Lonchura striata: one gene and its partner. The protein of the gene in region 1 interacts with the protein of each later gene in a pairwise test. Links are inferred from orthologs where the notes say so. Each region holds a gene or a part of one and is shown on either strand. Other genes may lie near its edges.

Region 1 (10,109 bases):
GTGGTATTATGGTGATAAACTCCAGTGCAAGTGGTAAAATTCAGCTAGCAATCAAAAAAAGGAAATGTTTGCTCCAGGAATAAAGGAGCTGGAAACTTTCTGGAGTAGAAAACCTACCAGGCAGGCAGAAATTCTCAAGTATTACCACAAAAGCTCCTATTATTATTGTTGGTTTATTGTTTTCCCTTCAGAAATATTTGCTTTTTAGGGTTTGTTTTTTTTTGGTTTTTTTTTTCATTCCACCTGGTACAAGGCACGGTTTTGCTTGGACGTCTTTTCCCAAATCTCCTAACCCTGGCACCAATCCTAACACAACACCCAACAAATAATCCAGGAATGCCTTCCGTGCCTCCCAGGCACGAGGAAGGGCAGTGGGTGGTCACGGAGAGCAGGAATTGCAGCCCAAATTCCCTGTGGATCTTGTCCAAACCCCGGTGCCCTGTGCCAGCCCCCCGTGGCACAGCCTGGATGGGATTGTTCCCCAGGAGCTGGGCAGGAAATGTTCACACGTGTCCCAGCACACACACACACACACACACACACACACAGAGGCCTGAATTCAATTTACAGCCATTTAATCCCCTTGAACCCAGCCCGGGAAGGAGCTAAATGCTTGCAGATTGCAGGTCTTAAAGCAGAGGCTGCAATTGGGGATCCTGGTGGGATTATTCCCGACAGGGATCATTCACACCAGGCACAATTTGTAGAATTTGCTGAAAAGCAGCAAAAGTGAGAGCAGAGCTGCCCAGAGAGCAAATCCTGTCCTGCTGTTTTCTTGTTTTCAGCCACTAGATGGAGGATTTTTATTGGGAACAGCTCCAAAAAATCCTGCACGGACTTCCAGGGCAGGTTTAGGGTGGATATTACGAAAAGGTTTTTCCTCAGGCTCCCCAGGGAATGGGCACAGCCCGAGGGTGAGGAGCTCCAGGAGAGGTTGGACAGCGCTGCCAGGGATGCCCAGGGTGGGATTTTGGGAATGTCCTGAACTGGATGATCCCTTCCAGCTCAGGGAATTCCATTATTCCAGGAAATTCAAACATCCAGGATTAGTTTCATCCAGCTTCCACCATCCCAGGGTGCTCCCAGCCCCATCCAGCCTGGCCTTGGGCACTGCCAGGGATCCAGGGGCAGCCACAGCTGCTCTGGGCACCTCTGCCAAGGCTCCCCATCCTCACAGGGAGGAATTCCTTCCCAATATCCCACTTATCCCTGCCCTCCTTCAGCTTAGGGCCATTCCCTCTTGGCCTGCCAGCTTACCTTTAGCAACAAGAGATTAATAATAATAATTTATAGGGTTTTTTTCCTCGTTTTTTCCTAATATGTGCACAACTAGTCCTCAATACACTGGAAAAAAAGTTTCTGATCCAGCAATTCCAGAGGAGAGAGACAAGGACAGCCCCTGGTGTTGGCATAGGCTGCTGCTACTACAAAAAAAAAAGCAGAAAAGCCAACATCAAATACAACCTGCTCACTCCAAAGTCTTCTAATGGATTTTCCTGCTGCAGGCATCAAGGAAAAGAAACCATTCCAGCTGCCAAACCAGACCTTAGCACTGCTGTGTAACAGAGAGACAGCAGGATTCTCAAATTCTTGCCAAAAGTAGGAATGAAAATAAACTGAGGAGCATCATTTCAGTAGGGAAACACGAACTGAGCAATTCTTCAAAATCCAAGTTATTTTCATAGGATTGTTGAGGGTGGAAAAGAGCTCTGGGATCGTGGAATTCACCCTGTGCCCCATCCCCACCTTGTCCCCAGCCCAGAGCTCTAAATCAGGGGTTACAAACAGGAAGCAACATCAAATGATTCTGTTCAACAGACACCACCACAAATTATTTTATTTCAAGTCCCACATACCAAGGGTGTGATGAAGTTAAACCTTTTTGTATGCTTTTCAGTCTAACTGGTTGCAAAATTCACTATTTTCCAGCACTTTAAAAACCTAAACCTGCAAGGAAACAAGTAGTTCATGTGACTGTGAAGATATTTTATTCCTTTTATTTTACTTGGGAAAGAAAGTGGAGGGGGGGGGGGAAGTGATAATTAACCTTTCAACAAGTATGGATAAAGGAGAAAATAAGGTTATTTCAACTGTCAATAACTAAATATTGAGTTTCAAACTAAAGGAAATCGACCTGTGACCAAAATTTTATTGGCAAAGTTCTGCATACAAAGACATTTTGTGGTTTATTTCCAACCACTGGCTTTGCTCTGTCTCCTCCTACAAGTGGCTCAATCCCAGCATTTCCAGTTCCAGGGTTCCTCCAAGGAAAGAGATGAAAACCCTGGAATTCTGATAAAAGTAAAGGAAAACCCTGGAATTCTGACACAATAAAGAAAAACCCTGGAATTCTGATAAAAGAAAACCCTGGAATTTTGACACAATAAAGGAAAACCTGGAATTCTGATAAAATAAAAGAAAATCCTGGAATTTTGACACAATAAAGATATGTGCTGTTCCTGCACCTACAGAGTTTTATGAGATGGGGAGGAAGCTCAAGAGAAAATCCAGAGGCAAACTCCTGGAATTCCCTGGGTGTGAATCCCATGGGACACCACCACTCCTTCCCAAGCCAAGGTAAATCCACAGGCAGCAGCTCTGAATAAATGCTCATTTTTCCTCACCTGATTGCCCAAAATTCCAGAAAAAGCAGGGTAAAAGCAGCACAGGCAGGAAAAGAGCCTCTTCCAAACTTATTTCTTGGAGCAGGTGCCTCTGGAAGCTGCAGCTGTGAGCATTGCTAATTAGCAGCACACCTTTAATGGTTTTATTAAATTACTCTGGATGTTATTAATCAATTAGCCCTTTAAAAGAACCTTAATTAACACCTGCTCTGGAAGCACACAGCTTTCACATGGCTGGGTGATTCAGACAGAACACCCAGCTGTAGAAGAGATCATAAACTGAAAAAACAAAGTTATAAAATCTTTTTGTCCTCTGGAGAAGATGGAATGTTTCACAAATCTAACCTCCATCTTTTTATTCTCTCAATAAATTAATTAATCTTTCCTATTAACATCTATTACTGAAAATGAAACTACTTCCGTTTATTGCGGGGAAATTTACTCAGGGTTTCAGAATCAAAGGCTTGTTATTCTGGTGAATTTCTGTAAACAACTGTTTTAAAAATATATAATCATATATATATATATAAACTTCCTAGCAGAGAAAATTTTCGGTTTTCTCTGTGAAATTCAGACACTTTTTTGTTTGATATTTTAAAATCTTGGTTGAAATATTTGAAGTCACACAGATGTCAGATTTGCCTCTCTTGGAATCTACAGGGCACCACACCTCAGGTATCCTCACACAGAAGGCAAGAAAGTACCAAAAAACACTCCAAAATACCATTTTAAAGCTGCTTCCACCAAAGGAATCTCTCAGTTGCAAATAACCCTTGTTTACTTCAAAAAGTCTTCCCTGGAGAGCTCCAAAAATAAACTGATCCATAAACTATCCGTGCCATAGCAGGATAAAATGACTATATTTGGTGAAGTACACAACTTGCCACTGTGGATGGATTTAAAAATAAAACAAAAAAAAAAAAAAATGGGGAGGAGAGGGAGGAAAAGGAGGCAACGCTTGAATTGCAAATAAGGGCATAGGGATACGAGTGTGTTGAGAGAATCCTGGAAGAGTTTGGGTGGGAAGGGATTTTGAAGGGATTTTAAATCTCGTTCCACCCCTGCCACGGCAGGGACACCTTCCACTATCCCAGGCAGCTCCAGGGAAAGGCACACAGGGAGGAATTCCTTCTCACATCCCATCTGAAGCCCTCCGTGTCACAGCTGGCTGCTGTGAAGGGGACAGAAGCCAGCAGCGCTGCTGTGGATGTGCAAACCCTGCCAGGAGCACACGCTGCTGCTCCCAGGAGCGCTCCCAGCCCAGCCCAGCCCGGGGGGACAGGGGACACAGCCCCGCGGAGGAGCACAGCCAAACCTTCGGGTGGAAGGGATTTAAAGCTCATCCCGCTCCACCCCTGCCACGGCAGGGACACCTTCCACCATACCCCAGCTGCTCCAAGCCCTGTCCAACCTGGCCTTGGGCACTGCCAGGGGGCAGCTACACCTTCTCCGGGCACGCCGTGCCATGGCCTCAGCACCCTCACTGAGGGCAGGATTTCTCCCCGCTATGGAACCACGGCGGGGATGAACAGAGGGATGGGGGGTGGGTGAGGCGGAGTGGGGTCCCCCCGCCTCGGCCGCTCCCTCCCCGCCGGCTCAGGGCCCGGGGGGGGTGGGGGTGTGGGGATCGCGGTGTGTGTGTGCGCGGTGCCCCCCGTGCGGGGCCGTGCGGGGCCGGGGGGGGCGGCGGCGCGGCGGAGCTGCCGCCCGCGGGGGCGCCGCGTTACCGTGTGAGGCGGGCGCCGAGTTCTCGTGGTGTTTTGTGCGGCGGCTGCGATAATGGCGTCCTTCCTCGCGAGAGATCCGGCCGGCGGCCCCGCGCCGCGCACGCGCCGCGCGCCCGCGCGCTGCCCCCGCCCTTGCCCCGCCGCCGAGGCGCCGCAGCGGGGGGGGGGGGAACGGACTACGAGTCCCAGCGGGCAGCGCGCGCGCCCCCGCAGGAGCACGCCGGGACCTGTAGTACGCGCGGGGGTGGCGCGGGGCGTGCCGGGAAGTGTAGTCAGGGAATCATGGAATCGCAGGGTTTATCCCGGGAGCGTTGAGGGGGGAAAAGAGCTCCGGGATCGTGGAATTCACTCTGTGCCCCATCCCCGAGCTCTGAGTGCCGCCTCCAGGAATTCCTGGGACACCTCCAGGGATGGGCACTCCAACCCTCCCTGGGCACTTCCAATCCCTGAGCCCCTTTCCATGGGGAAATTCCTGCTGCTGCCCACCCTGAGCCGGCCCTGAGGCCGTTCCCTCTGCTCCTGTCCCTGTTCCTGGAGCAGAGCCCGACCCCCCGGCTGTCCCCTCCTGGCAGGAGCTGAGCAGGGCCAGGAGGGTCCCTGAGCCTCCTTTGCTCCGGGCTGAGCCCCCCAGCTCCCTCAGGATCCTCCAGTGCCTTCCCAGCTCCCTCAGGATCCTCCATCCCCTTCCCAAATCCCTCAAGATCCTCCAGCCCCTTCCCAGCTCCCTCAGGATTCTCCACATCCCTCAGGAATTCTCCATCCCCTTTCCATCTCCCTCAGGAACTTTCCAGCCTCTTTCCCACTCCCTCAGGATCCTCCAGGCCCTTCCCAAATCCCTCAGGATCCTCCAGCCCCTTCCCAGCTCCCTCAGGAATTCTCCAGCCCTTTTCCATCTCCCTCAGGATTTTCCAGCCCCTTCCCAGCTCCCTCAGGAATTCTCCAGCCCCTTCCCAGCTCCCTCAGGAATTCTCCAGCCCCTTCCCAGCTCCCCCAGGAATTCTCCAGCCTTTTTCCATTTCCTTCCCATCTCCCTTAGGAATTCTCCGTTCCCTTCCCTGGACACGCTCCAGCCCCTCAACGTCCACAGCGCTCAGCCAGCAGAGCCGGCAGATTGAACAGGAATCTGCACCTCCAAAATCATTCACACCTTCCCCATCATCTGCTGCTTCCATCAGACTCCTCGTGGATGTCACTGTCGTGCTAAGGACAGAAACGTCACCGTGCCCGGAGCAGGCTGAGCAGCAGGCAGCAAGTGGGAATTTGCTAAATTGGCTCGTCAGCCTCGCTCTTCTGTCACTGCTGTGCGTGCTGCGAGAACAGGAGGGCTGGGTGAAGGTGGGAATGCACCGGGAACCTTCTGGGCACGATAAAAATATGCAAAGAGCCTCCAAAAAAGAAGCACGGAGGAAGCATATGCAAAGAGGACAAAGATTAGGCAAATTTCTGTCTTTTTATAGCACAGTGTTGCCCAATAAAGACCAACCACGCTTCACTTTTCAGCTTCACCGTAGCTAGCAGCGACTTGCAGACTTCTGCATTAAAGCATTCCCTAAATAAGATTAATAAAGATTCCTAAATGAGATGCTTAATGGGGTTCTCCAGTGCCATGTCACACAGCTGGATCCACTCTGGTTCAGCTGTAAGAGGTTCTCCAGACACCTGCAGGCCTGGTGTGTTGGGAAATTGTTCCCTCATGCAGCTGTTGATTTATTTACCATGTTCTCCCCCTTCACAAGCAGATTAGGCAGTTCAAAGGTTAAACTACTTAGAATCTGACTTTTCACACCAGATTATTTCACGCTTTGCTACACCAATTTGCCCTGCAACAGTTTTGCCATAGGGTTTCTGCTGGACTCAAGCAATTGCAGGTCCCAGCTGGAAAAACAGGGATACAAATATTTACCAGCTGCTGTGGGAGCTACTGGTAAAAGCTTTTGCCACCCTAAACCAGCCCATGGTAAAAGCTGCCCTGCTTTCTCATATTTTCATCATATTACCATCCCAAAGATTATAAACTCCTGTTTGCTGGAGGTGTGAGGTGCTTCTGCCCTGGAGAGCCATGAATCCTTTCCCAACACAAACAGAAAAGCTGGCATGGTCATAAACCAGTTATGGTATTTACCCAAAGTTAATTTGGCTCAAATTAACTGCAGGAAATACTGGCGGGATCCGACTGATGTCTGCGACTCTGATCAGAGATAACAGCAGAATAAACAAATAAAACAATTTATCCCCAAGGGAGGCTGCAGCACCTCCTCCTGCCCATCCACTCTGATCCAGCAGCTGAGAATCCACAGTTACCTCACCCCTTGGAAGAGTTTTTCCCTCTTTACCAGAGAAATTAATTTGGATTTTTTTTTTTCCAAACCAGAAGGCATTTATTTTTTAAATTATGGATGACACCACTAAATCACAGACAGACTCTTTTATCATGGTTTACCTCGTGTTTCCTTGAGACTGCACAGCCAGAAGTGATAAACACTTTGTGCAGCACAAAGTCTGACTGCAAACACGAGGAAAAGGATCTTTCTGTTAAATCTGGAGGCCCAGATTTGGCTTTTCAGTTTTTGATTCCCAGTACCAGTGAGTGACTGACCAAAGGGTAATTGCTTCCTTCACAATCTCCTGAGCTTCAGCTGCTGCCAAAACTGAGCTCCTGTGACTATTTCTGCAATAATTGAAAGAAATTCACTGTAATCCCCATTTAGTGAATGAGGGTTTCACTTTACCCTGGGATAGGTCTGCCTATGAGCAAATGCCAAGAAGAACTTGATACACTGGAAGGTTTATTCTGATTTAAACCATGATAATTTGCTCAAATGCCTACATCAAATCCATTCTAATTTTCTTAATTTCCTGTCCTCATATAAAAGCAACTGAAAACTTCAGGCTGCTAATATATAATTTAATTTTTTAATTTTACAGGAGAAAATACCCCCTGTTGCCCTGTTAGTCTGTTGTCCCAAATAAAACAAGGGATTTCTTTGTTGTTTTATTTCCTCACATTTTCGTGCTCTTTTTTTTCTGAACTCTTGCATTTTATGTCTGTGCTTTGCCATGTTAGGAGGAGTAATTTGCTTCCAGGAAGTATCCAGTTTATTTCACCCTGCTCTCAGCATTCATTTACTATTGTTTTCTAAGGAAGTTGCTGCTTTCACATGTTTTGTGTGGATCAGGAGAGACTGGGAACTCATTCATTGGTTTCCTTGTTTTTTTTTCATTAAGGAAAAAAACCCTTCCCATAGCATCAAAGGTAAAAAATTAACACACTGTGCACACAGTTTTGCAGCTGCAGCAGAAAAATAAAGGTTGCCAAACAAAGCTTTTGTTTAAACAAGTGACAGACATCCATAATTATCCTCAGTGCTGAGCATGAGGACACAGGAAAAAGGGATGGGGAAGATGTGAGCAGGGCACAGAAGGCACTCCAGAGTATTTGCTGGAAGAATCATTTTCTTTCCAAAGGATAAAATCCTCAATTACATCCAAGTAAAAAGAGTACTTGAAGGTCCCCTGTTTATTCTTTTCTTTCTGCTTAGGTTTGTTAATTTTCTCTATAATATCTCTTGTAACTGGAAAGGGAAACAAACCCAGCCTTATGAACACAGCCTGTCCTATGTTGTGACAGTGATGCTTAAGAAAAATTTATATAAAACACCTCTTTAACCAAGAGAATATTTATATTATTTGTAAATGTGCTGTAGCAGCATATGAGGAGAAGCTCATCATTTAATTTTCAGATGCCACAGCCATTTTCAATCCCCTCAGATTTTTCTATGGTTTATGACACAAAACAAGGCAGCACCAAGTGGGTTTTGCTCCTGGACCTACTTCAGCTACCTCTGTATCAGTACTCTGATCTCATTCTGGTTTCTGCTGAGTAAACTCCATTTTGTTCAATAAAAATACTCCTAATTTTCACGAACAGGGATGGAAGAAAAGGGCCTGCATTCCCTCAGCAGAGAGAGAAGCTGTGACACGTTTTGCCACCCGTCTGGTCAAAGTCCATGGTCCTGTAGGGTCCCTTCTGCCAGTCTGAGGAACAAGGTGAGAAGGGTCAGGCATGATCTTGATGTTCTCTTATTTATTTTTACAGACTCCTCCACCTCCCTGGACACAACCTGGGAAAAAAAATCAAATGATGGGAGGCTCCTTCCCTTCTGAGAAATGTCCCCCTGGCACAAACCCTGTGTTTACACTTGCCTGGCTGGGATCTTCCAGGATCTCTCACAGCTCCCCACACAGCTGAGGTTTGCCCAGCTCTGCTCATGTTTGCCCCAGACCACGTTTACTTGGTCAGGTATTAATAGCTGAGTACTTCTGGGGGGATTGTCAAAGCCTGAAGGGTATTCATTCCACCTACAGATTTTAGAGGATTTTATCCTTCTATGATTCTAAGCGGAATTTGACCGTCTCCTCATTCTGGACGTGCATCCATTTCAACACATCCAAAATTATTTTTAGCTCTACCATTGCAGGTGTGAGAGGTAAAATAAACTGAGTGGAGATGTCCAGTTGTGGCCAGGGTGGCAGAATGTCCCTGAGCAGGTTTCCACACAGCTCCACGTGGCAGAGGCAGGAGGGCAGGGCTGCTCTTCGGGGCAACCCAGGTCAGCCAGAACCTCATCCAGAGGCAAATTCCAACCCTTGGGATGGTGAAATCCTGCATTTCCCTACAAGCTGGGCACTGCAAAGCTCTGGAGACAGAGTTTTTCTCCCACTCCAGGTGTTCCTCAGAAAATCCTGGAGTGCTCCCTGGCAGGGATGAAGGTCCACGGGCTGTATCAGACAGAGCTTCCCAGCACATCTCAGGAATTCCCCCTGCTGAGCACTCATGGGAATGGATCTGGAATGTTCTGTCCTGTTTGGAGAGACAATGAACAAACAGAGGTGCTTCCCAGGCTGCTGAGCTCAGCTGGATGAATTGTCCCAGCAAAACGTGGACATCAAAAAAAAAAGCTTTCCTCAAATAAAAATCGGCCATGGGAAGTGTGAGCCAATCCCCAGGGAAACGAGGGGCAAAGCCACCCAGGGATGGCCTGGCTCCTGTCACAATAAGTGACATTTTTAGTCACTCCACAGAGGTTTCCACTCCTCAGCAGCAAAACTCCCAAGCAGCTTCCCACAACCTGAGTGTCCTGCCAATTAGACAATAATTAGGTGAGGAAAATGTTCATTATTAAATCACTTCCATGATATCGAGTTACAGTAAAGCTGTAACACTGTATTTTTTGCTGAATTGCTGGGTTTGACCTACAAACCAGGGCAGGAACACCCTTGCAAGCAGGAAGCCTGGGGATCAGATTCCTTGGACACACTGCAGTGAGGAGGTGATTCTCCCTCTGCAATAACACAATTAATATGAACAATGGTAATATAAAAGCAACTAAGTGCTGGCAATGCTCTAGTGAAAAAACCTCAATTATTGATCCCCTCTGCTCAGTCTGGAGGCACTGACAGCAAAAGTCAGATGGGTGACAGCGAGAAAATTCTAAATTTTCCCTTGTTTCATTTCCGTGAAGAAAAAGAAGCCCATTTTCATTGTGTACAGTCACACTGCTCACCCACATTACCCAATTATGAAGAACAGTTGATGTTTCAGTTTTTTGGGCAGAACTCAGAGCTGACAGTACAGGCAGTGCTGACAGCTTAGGGAATAAATGACAAGCGGGAAGGAAGACTCTGCTAAACAGGAGGGGTTGGAATAATAAATAGCACAGCTCAGCTGGCCACTTCAGGCTACCAAAGAGGATTCCCT
Region 2 (9,925 bases), on another chromosome or scaffold:
GAGTGGCGTGGCGTTGACGCTCACCTGCACAGAGGCCGGCCAGTTGGTGTTCATCTGCCGGTCCTCGTGGTGGTAGCACTTGAACTGCAGCTCCAGGTCAGGCCTGGGGACAGGCAGGGTGTGGGCAGGGGGTGTGTCCGCACGCGAGCCATGGCACCACCATGTCAGCACACCATGCTGCTCCAAGCCATGCAGAACCATGCAGTGCTAAGCCATTCTATGTTACACTGAGTCATATGGCACTGTGACAAACTCCAACAGTACCACAGCACAGCACTGTGCCAGGCCCACCATGTCCCACCATGCTGAGCACTAAGACAGCAGGCTGAACCACGGCAAGTACAGCTGTGCCACGCTTCGCACCATGACGCAGGACAGTGTCATGCCAAGTCATACCAGGCCACACACCCCCGTGCCACATGGCACCATGTAGTGCCTAGCTGTGCTGCCCAGCACAGCCCCACTCCACACAGTGCCATACAGCACCCCCCGAGCAGCACTGCATGACACTACAAAGCTTCCCCACCTCATCATGAGGGTTTTGTAGACAGAGTCACGGAGCTGGAAGACGTGGTTGCTGACAGCCAGGTTGTGCTGCAGGCGGAAGGGCTCCAACACCACGCCATCCCGAACCGGGAAGGTCAGTCGCAACTCCTCGCCGGGGGCCGGCCCTGTGGTACACCACCATCAGGGAAACCCACACCTTCCCCTCCCCCGGGCACCAGCCACACCCTGGCCGTGCCCCAGCCACACCCTGGCCATGCCCCAGCCGTGCTCCTCCCACTGCATGAGGATCCACCTTGCAGGAAGCCCAACCTCCACCACACTACCCTGCCCACCCCGGAAACTGCACCCCATGCATTGCAGGAAGCTCCTCCTACCCGAAGTGACCCCACCCCTGGGGGCCACCCCACTCCCACCGCTGTAGAGGAAACCCACCCCACCGCAGATTCCTGCCGCTAGCCCCAGGAAACTGCACCCTATCCAAGCCCCTCCCGATCCAGGTGGTCCCACTCTTAAAGCTGAAGCCCCCCACCAAACCAGCACTCCTGATAAGGCCCTGCCCCCTGAGCCACACCCTTTTAACAAGCCCCTCCCACTAGTCACAGGCAGCCCACCCCCTGCCTCAGTCAGCCCCCAAACCCTGGCAGTGGTCATGCCCTCTTCTCTGGCGCCTCTCCCACCCTCCACGTAAAGGGGCAAAGGCCACGGAGCTGTCAGAAGCGAGGTCTACACCGGACTGCTCGGGGCATGGGGGTCATCTCTGTGAAACACCCCCCTCACTCACACCAGGGACACCCACCTGAAGGGGACGGGTGCAGGGGGGCAACGCTGGGCTTCATGTCTGCCAGGAAGGGCGACTTGACATCCTGACCAGGGGACGCATAGGCGGGGATACCACTGCCTGGTGTCATGGGCGGCGTGGGGTTCCCGGCCAGCGGCGAGCTGGGGTACCCCGGCAGTGACCTGCCCGGCTGTAGAGGCAGCATATCTGCCCTCAGCGTCCAGCCAGGCCAGCAGAGCCCCCACCCCACCCGCTGCCAGACTCACCCCACTGACGGCTGCTTGGCTGTAGGTGCTGAAGCTGGCGCTCTGCCCATTGAACTGGTCAGCTGGCTATGGGAGGAGGAGGGTCTCCAGGGGCTGGCACCGGGGGATGGTGGACACCCAGACCTCCACCCCTTGCCCACCGTTCCCCCTGTGGTACCTTGTAATAGGGTCCAGCACCGCCTGAAGTGGAGAGGTACTGGCCCATGCTCTGCTGCAGCCTGTGGCCAGGGTATGAGGGGGACGGAGCGGAGGACTGGGGGGCGCTGGGGGCATACTGGGCACCAGCTGCAGCGTACTGCCCGCCCTGGAGGTACTGCTGTGTTGGGTACCCCTGTAGGGCCAGGGAGTCAGCACCAGTGGGAAAGGGGGTCACCGTGTGCCACAGCCTTCACCAACGCAGCGCTCACCTCACTAGAGTATGCCCGCTTGAGGCCCTGGCGGGGCAGCTGCTGGCTCTGGGGAGGTCCAGGGTAGGTGTGCTGAGGCACTCGCTGTCCACCATAAAGGGGGCCAGTCCCGGGTGCCCGCACTGGGCTCATGCTCACAGGGGAGACACCAGAGGGGGCCACAACACCTGCCATGCCAGCTGGGCTCATGCTGTTGGGGCCACGGGGTCCAGCATGGGGCAGGAACTGGCTGCTGAAAGACTGCCCTGTGCCCATCTGCAGCAACGAAGAGAGAAGAGTCATGGCAGGGCAGGGGGGCTGTCAGCTCCCCAGTTCTGCCACAGCCAGGCTCTTACCGCACTATACTGGCTCAGCTCCTGGCTCTGTTTCTCCTGCAGTGCAGCCACCGTCGCCGTGGCTGTGGCCGTGGCCGTGGCAGCAGCAGCAGCCACAGCAGCAGCTGCTGCTGCCTGGGTGAAATCAGCAGTAGCCCGGCTGGCATGCGAGGGGAGCCCTATCCCTCCAGGGCCACTCGGGCCACCATTGTAGCTGGAGAACAGAAAAGCAGAAAGGGGAATGCAGTGGCCCTGCATCAGGGCACACACCAGGCCACAAAGCACAGGACTGTCCTTACCTGGCAGCGAAGCCCGGCCCACTGGGGTAGGCAGTGCGCCCATAGACACTTGGTTGCACATACCCCTTTGCTGGTGCCCCCTCAGCAAAGGGCTGCTGTGGCAAGAACGGTGGTGAGCTCATGCCTGAGCTGGTGCCTGCCATGCCAGGCAGCAGTGGGGTGCTGGAGCTGCTTCCCCCAGGGCCCATGGGGCTGCCAAAAACCTGGAGGGTGCAGTGGGAGGCAGCGGGTCAGGCAGGGGCAGTGGCATGCAGGTGCAGTGGATGCCTGGGGAGGGGGTGCTGCTGGTACCTGGCTCTGTGAGGGGTTGCTGACACCCCAGACAGTGGTTACCACGGAGAGGGATCCCGGTGGCTGATTGGTGCTTGGTTGCCAAGGAACAGCCTCGTATGCAAATGAACCATCACTAGAAAGAAAAACAAATTAATGAAGATGAAGGACAGAAGGATGGAAGGACAGAGGGATGGAGGGATTGAGAAAATGAAAAGATGAAAAATGCAAGGGATGGAGGAACAGACAAGGGGATGGATGCATGGATGGAAGGATGGAGAAATGGATGGAGAAATAGATGGATGGATGGATGGATGAATGGATGGATGGATGGGTGGATGGATGGGTGGATGGGCGGATGGAGGGACGCTGCCCCGGCGCCCACCCGTGGGGCGCAGGCGGCAGCGAGGGTTTCATGGGGTTCATGGAGCTCATCAGCGGGTGTGGGCTGGGTCTTCCGAGGCCGCGGCGGGCACTGCGGGACGGCGGCACCGTCTGTCACTGGGGCTGCGGGAAGCAGTGGAGTGGCGGGTGAGGGGCGGCCGCCCCCGGAGAGGCTTGAGCGGGGGGACAGCCCGTAGGCTTCGCGACCCCCCAGCCTCCGCGGCCGGGACTCGGCGTCCGGCCTGCGGCTGGCACGGGGCGCCGGCCGGCACGCGCCGCCCCTGCTCCGGGCCGCCCCCCCGCTCCGGCCACCGCGGCGTCAGACCTCCCCGGGGCGGCGGGCACCGGGGGCTGCCCCCGCGCCTGCGGGCGGGGGGAACCACGGGGACTTCCCGGGGAAGGGACGGGGCCCCCGGCTCGGCATTGCGCCCCAGCGCCTGGGGTATTTCCAGCCGGGCCCGGCAGCGGGGGGCCGCGGGGTCACCGGCGCTTTCGGTTCCTCCCGGCGCCGCGGGAGGGCGGCGGACACGGGGGCGTCGGGAGGAAAGACACGGACAGGGAACACCCCGCGGCGGGCCTGCCCCGGCTCCCGGGAACCGCCACCATAGCACCGCCGGTGGTGACAGCCCCCCTCCGCTCCTTCCCCGGCGGCACCGCGGGGACAGGCCCCGGGACCGGGCCCCCCCCCATTGCCATGGCAACCACCCCCACCACCCCCGGCACGGCGGGGGGGCCCGCCGGGGCACCGCCAGCCCCGCCCGTCTCCCGCCCCGTCCGCCCGCCCGGCGCTCCCGCTCTCACCGCGGCGGCGGCCCAAGATGGCCCTGGCGGCGCGAGGCGCGCGCGGCTGCGCGGAGGCTGCGCGGGATCTTCAGCCGCGCGCGGCCGCGGCTCCGCGGGGGGCGGGGCCCAGGGGCGGGGCCGGGCCGCCGCCGCGCACAATGGGGCCGCGCGCTCATCAGCATGCAGGCCCCGCCCCCGCCCGGCCAGGCGCGGATAGCCGAGCGCCGAGGAAGGGCGCGGGCTGCGGGAGGGGGGAGCGCGGGAGCGAGCGCCGTGTGCGGGGCGCCGTGGGCAGCGCGCGTGGGGCCACGCCACGGGCTGTCCCCGCACCACGGGCTCTGCCCGCATCACGGGCTGTCCCCGCATCACGGGCTGTCCCCGCGCCACGGGCTGTCCCCGCGCCACGGGCTCTGCCCGCATCACGGGCTGGCTGTCCCCGCGCCACGGACGCTGCCACCGCAGCAGCGGCACCGCGACACGCGTGGGCATGTGGCACCTCGCACACGTGTACGCGTGCGGACGGTTTGCTCGCGGGGACGCGGAGCCCCACGCACCACGTGGACGTTGCGCGGTGACATCGCGTGCAACCCTGTATGTGACAGCACAGCCACGAGTGTGTGACGGGGCGTGGCACGCGAACCCCCCGACCTCCCTCCTGCAGCTGAAAGACCTGAGTCACACGGAAAAGTGGCGGTGGGTTCCGAGATCCCAGCTGAGATTGCCCCCGTCGCCCCCACCCCCAAAGAACGTCCTGTGGGAGGACGCGGTGGGCTCTGGAGATGCCAACAATGATCCCCGTTTGAGAGATCACCTCCCTCGACCCCCACTCAGGATCTCCAATGGGAGGACACACCACCCAGCACCCGCCCTGTCTGTCCCTGTGGGGGCTCACAGCCGGGGGATGGTGCAGACGCAGAGGGAAAAACATGCTCCCCAAGGACAGGTACAACTGAGACAAGGGCACAGCACTCTTACACCTGGTTGGGCCCTCAGGACGTGCAGATGCACTATCTCCTTCCTCCAAGAGGCAGTGGCTGCACAGAGGCAAGTCCAAGACTGAGACGAACTGGGCAGAACCTGATTCATTGCACTGGACACCCCCACAGAAGAGCTGTGGGGACCAGCCCCTCTTGGGGGGTATGGGACACCCCCAGAGAAGCGCCCCAGGGACCAGACATGCCAGGGGTCTGGGGGGCCATGGGTCTTACCCACCATGGCAGCACGCAGCCCCCAGACCCTCATGCTCCCAGGGCAGCTGTACTGGAGCCACCCTGGCATGAGGCAGACAAGGACTCCAGGCAACAGTGTGGGGTTGACAAGATCTGTAGTTGAGGGGGGGAGGCGAGCAAAGGACAGAGAGATGAACAGACAGATGGAGGAGCATGCTGCGCCGTGACGGCGCTCAAGCCAGGTCCTTGAAGGCATCGAGGTTGAAGGCTGTATCGAGTAGCCGCTGCAGCTCTGTCAGGTGGGTTTTCTTATTGCCAGTGGCAGGGGCAGCTGCTGGCTCCCGCCCTGCATACCTACCAGGGAGAAGGTGGGCCATGAGAAGGGTCTGTACCGACCAGTTCCCTCCCAGCCTCTCACCACCCCCTGTGTCCTTACCAGACAGGCTTTGCACGGTTGATGGTGGTGCGAAGCCGGGGTTTGACATAGTCATAGTAACCCTGGTTCTTGTGCTCCTCCTGGCACCACACCAGCTCGGCAGCTGGGTATTTCTGGGCTTCTCGCTGGAGGAGGTCAAAGGGGAACGGGGAGAGCTGCAGGGGACACAGAGTGGTGTCACAGGAGACATGGGGCAGTGTCTCGGGGGCTACAGAACCCCCAGCCCACAGATCATGGTGGCAGAAGGACCCTACTCACCTGCTCCACCCTGGTGATGGCCACATCGGCCTCCATCTGCCGGGCCTTGCGCTCACGGGTCAGGTCATAGTACACCTTGCCAGTGCAGAACAGCACCCGCTTCACCTGCTCGGGGTTCTGGGCTGCAGGGCCACTGTCAGGGATGACACGGAGGAAGTGGGTGCCTGCCAAAGAAGAGAACGGCACCCTGAGCCACAGCAGTTCACAGCACTGTGCCAGCAGCCACTGCACCCACATGCCATGCCAGCCCCTTCCAGGACCCTGAGAGGCAGAGTCAGTTGACCCAGGTACAGCAGGCACAACTCCCACCACAAACCATCACATGCCACTTGGGGCTACCAAATCCCAGCTGCAAGTGGCTGTTGATGGAGGAAGCAACATGGAGCCAAGTCTCCCAAGGGTGCCAGGCTCAGCCCTAATGAGGCTCTGGTGTGCCAAGGAGGCCCTGGCCTCACTCGGCCAGCCTCCACCATGGGGAGGCTGCTGTCAGGCAGACTTTACCCAAGGCGACAGACTCCTGCCCTTCACCCTGCGGAGCAGCGTGGGAGAACACAGGCAGCTCTGTGCTACTTGTACCTGGCAGCATGTCATCAAAGCTGGAGCGGGCTTCGGGGTGGCGCAGCAGTGACTTTGGAGTGAAGATTATCAGCTGGAGTGGGGGAGAAGAGGCAGAGCAATGTGGTCAGACCTGCCAGAAACACCTCCCCTACAAGCCAGTGCTGGAGCAGCCACCTGCCTGCCCTCCCCTGCCCATCCTGCCTGAGCAAGGGAGCAGCTGCCAGAGATTTGCTTCTCAACTCAGCTGCAGTGTTCTGCTAGATTGGGCACCGATTCCCAACAGCACCAACCATCCCAGCTGGGATGTCCCCTGGGGAAGAGGCGGAGGGGCTTCCAGCCTGTCCCATGGCTAGAGCTGACTGGAACTGGCTGAAGTAGGTCATGTAGCAGTGTCTGTTGGCTTCAATAGCCCTGACCTCCCCATGGAGTTTGGGAAGGGGTCACAGCCCTTGCAACCCACATGAGACAGCAGCCGTACATCAAGCGCCAAGCCAGTCCTGAGCACAATAAGCTCCTTGGCCAGGCAGCAGCCAACTGCCCATGTCTGAGGTGCAGGAAGAAGCTGCACCCAGCCCAATCCCAGTCCAGGGAAATATCCAACAGGAAGACAGCACCCTGCCTGGGCACCAAGCTGGGCATGGAGCTGCTGGCACTGACCGGTTTGCGGAAAGGCAGGAGGATCTGGCGCCGGAGGACGTGGAAGAAGTTGGCTGGAGTGGAGCAGTTCACGACAATCCAGTTGCACTCATAGAGCTGACGCACATCAAAGTCATCCAGCTTCTGTCTTGGCCAGAACGGGTGAGGGGATTTCAGGAAACACAAGGTACCTCTTGGCCTTGTGGCTCCAGTAGGAGGTAGAGGAGTGGTCCCCAGCCCTCCCTCCCCTCCCTCCTTCCCTCCCCTCCCTCCCCTTCTCTCACTCTTCAGAGCACACAGAGATCCTGGAGAGGCTCCAGGGCTGTGCTCTCCACCTTGGTCTGGCCATAAGGGTGGCCAGCAACCCCCTCTCATGCCACTTTCAGGGCCACCTCTCCCTTGGACTATGCCACAGCCCCAGGTTCCATGGAGGTGCAGCCTGGGCACCAGGTTCAGGCTCTTTCCCCACACCCTCCAGCCAGCATGAGACCAAGGCATCCCATGCCTCCTGCCATCAGCTCCCACTGTGCTAAGCCCACACGGGTGTTGCTGCCCTCCACTGAGCTCAATCCAGGGCACAGGAGGGCCAGGCTGAGCACCACACCATGGGGGCCACCACTCACAGGGAAGACATCAGGATCATCATTGCACATCTGCAGGAATCGCTCTGGGCGGGCAGAGGAGTGCTCGGGACCCTATGGGGACCAAGAAGGCAGAAGGTCATTGCAGGCCAAGGAAAGCATGAGAACCCGAAGTCAGGCACTCCCACATCATGAGTAGTGCCACTGCTGTCCAGGGTTCCACCTCCAGGGTGAGCCTTACCATGCCCTCCATGCCGTGGGGAAGCAGCAGGACAATGCCGTTCTGCCTGACCCACTTGGCCTGCCCGGGACAGATGAACTGGTCGATAATGCATTGAGCAGTGTTGTGGAAATCCCCAAACTGGGCTTCCCAAAGCACCAGGGCATTGGGACTGGCCATGGCAAACCCCAGTTCAAATCCTGAGAAACGGAAGAGCAGTGAGAGGGTTGGGCTGCCCTTCCAGAGTGGCATCACCCTGGGCAGTGAGCACATACCCACTCACTCACCCAAGACACCGTACTCTGACAGGGAGCTGTTGCAGACAGTGTACGGAGCCTGGTTGGGCCAGAGGTGGTTCATGGGGATACAGGTCCTCTTGTCCACATTCTGATCATGAAGGACATGGTGGCGATGGCTGGAAAAGGGAGAAGAGTAACTTCATCATCAGCCTTTGGATCCCTTCCAGAAGGGCTGGAATTGCCTTTAAAGCCTCCAAAAGCAGGGTTTTACCTAAATGTCCCCCTCTCAACATCCTGGCCACTCAGGCGGATGTGGATGCCCTCTTTGAGCAGGGAGCCAAATGCCATGTACTCTGCCAGGGCCCAGTCAACTGTCCGGTTCTTCACCATCTCCCCACGGGTTTTCAGAATACGGCTCAAACCTGCCGGGACAGGAACTGGTTCATAGGCAGCACAAGACAGAGCTCCAGTGACACCAGATTTGTTCCACAACCAGCCCACGGGTTTTGCTTGTTCTGAGGCCCTCAGAGCTCCAGGCAGGGTCTCAAGAATGCAGCACCCAGGGAGAGGATCCCCACCCTTGACCTGCTACCCACCCATATTGAAGCAGTCCAGTATGTCCCTTCCTTCCAGGCCACATCCCAGCCCTATCTCACATCTCTCCAGAACAAATGCCCAGTCTGGCACAGCTTTCACAAGCTCCTACCTCCATGGATAGTGAAATCCTCCACCGGCACTGAGCTGGCCACTTGACCAATGTGCGTCAGGTCCTCTTCATTGAGGCCAGTGGAAGGGCAGGTCATGCTCCGGGGCTGCCCGTCCAAAGTGAAGAAACCTGTCAGAGAAGGAGAAACACCATGCTGCAGGAGACGTGCCAGATCCATGGGAAGACCTCAGGTCACAGACACCCTCAAGCAAAGGTAGAGACACCAGGAACGGGAAGGGCACTACTAACCTCCCCTGTGGGGTGGCTTACTAGAAAATCTCTGCCATGGATCTAGAGAGGCCGGGTGCCTTGCTATGGCCTCTAAATCGCTGCTAGTGACTTACCTGGCCAAGGTGAGTCCAGCCAGTGTTTGATGTGCAAGATCTTCTCATCCTTGGATCTGGCATGGGCCTCCTCACAAATCTTATCGTACTTGGCAATTTCCTCCTGAAAGGCAGAACCAAGAAAAACATTAATGGGGGATCTCTAAACGAGGGTATTGAGTCTGAGGACCTTGGTGAGCTTGCAAGGGTGCTGGAGGACAGAGGTGGGCCCAAAGCTGTGCAGTTCAGCCTCAGAGAGCACAGCCACAGCTGGGACCCCTGTACCCCAAGGCATAGCTCTGCTACGCTCAGAGCTGATATCTTGTGTCCAGCCCTGCTGATGCTGAAAGGTGGTGCCAGGGCAAGCAGGGCTGGCAGAACCTCTGTGCCGTGAGCTGCCCAAGCAGCAGAACCGGGACAGGATCTGCCCCAGGTACCCGTGGCCACAGCAGTCCCAAGCACCGAGACCTGCCTGTGCTGCAGTGGCCCAGAGCTGCATGGCCTGTTCCACATTGATCACAGGGTGATCCTTGAACTAGATGTTCCTGCACTTTTCAGAGCTGGCACAGTTCAAGGATGAGCCCTGGCTCTGAACTCCATCGCTGCAAGGTCTGCAGCACACACCCAACCCCAGCACAGCTCTGCCACCTTTAGGTTACAAGCACAAGAACGTGATTCTTGTAGGCCCATGTGGGCCCTTCATATGGGTCACACCCAGGTCTGAGCCATGAAAGTAGCCTTCCCTGGAGATACCACCAGCAGTTTTCCCCTTTCAGGCCCCGCAGATGATA

Evidence for each region. The genes of interacting proteins can lie anywhere in the genome.
Region 2: the proteins of BANP (region 1) and ZMIZ2 interact in binary tests that used the Homo sapiens proteins (3 or more experiments, as listed by UniProt). The two-hybrid records come from large-scale screens. The link is inferred for Lonchura striata from reciprocal best matches to the Homo sapiens genes BANP and ZMIZ2.

The regions. Positions count from the first base shown.
Region 1 is NC_134615.1:21,986,680-21,996,788, reverse strand, and holds the start of BANP (protein BANP), read right to left. Parts: upstream 4,454-10,109; 5' UTR 4,352-4,453; intron 1-4,351. UniProt on the Homo sapiens protein: Controls V(D)J recombination during T-cell development by repressing T-cell receptor (TCR) beta enhancer function. Binds to scaffold/matrix attachment region beta (S/MARbeta), an ATC-rich DNA sequence located upstream of the TCR beta enhancer.
Region 2 is NC_134634.1:5,447,278-5,457,202, reverse strand, and holds the start of ZMIZ2 (zinc finger MIZ domain-containing protein 2), read right to left. Parts: upstream 4,118-9,925; 5' UTR 4,027-4,117; intron 3,486-4,026; exon of another isoform or gene 3,349-3,485; 5' UTR 3,277-3,348; coding exon 3,227-3,276; intron 2,978-3,226; coding exon 2,863-2,977; intron 2,775-2,862; coding exon 2,572-2,774; intron 2,487-2,571; coding exon 2,294-2,486; intron 2,214-2,293; coding exon 1,959-2,213; intron 1,883-1,958; coding exon 1,709-1,882; intron 1,618-1,708; coding exon 1,552-1,617; intron 1,476-1,551; coding exon 1,304-1,475; intron 672-1,303; coding exon 527-671; intron 104-526; coding exon 1-103. Other genes in the region: OGDH (2-oxoglutarate dehydrogenase complex component E1), read right to left, coding at 5,411-5,531, 5,614-5,768, 5,872-6,035, 6,448-6,520, 7,087-7,209, 7,689-7,760, 7,888-8,066, 8,154-8,281 and 3 more. UniProt on the Homo sapiens protein: Increases ligand-dependent transcriptional activity of AR and other nuclear hormone receptors.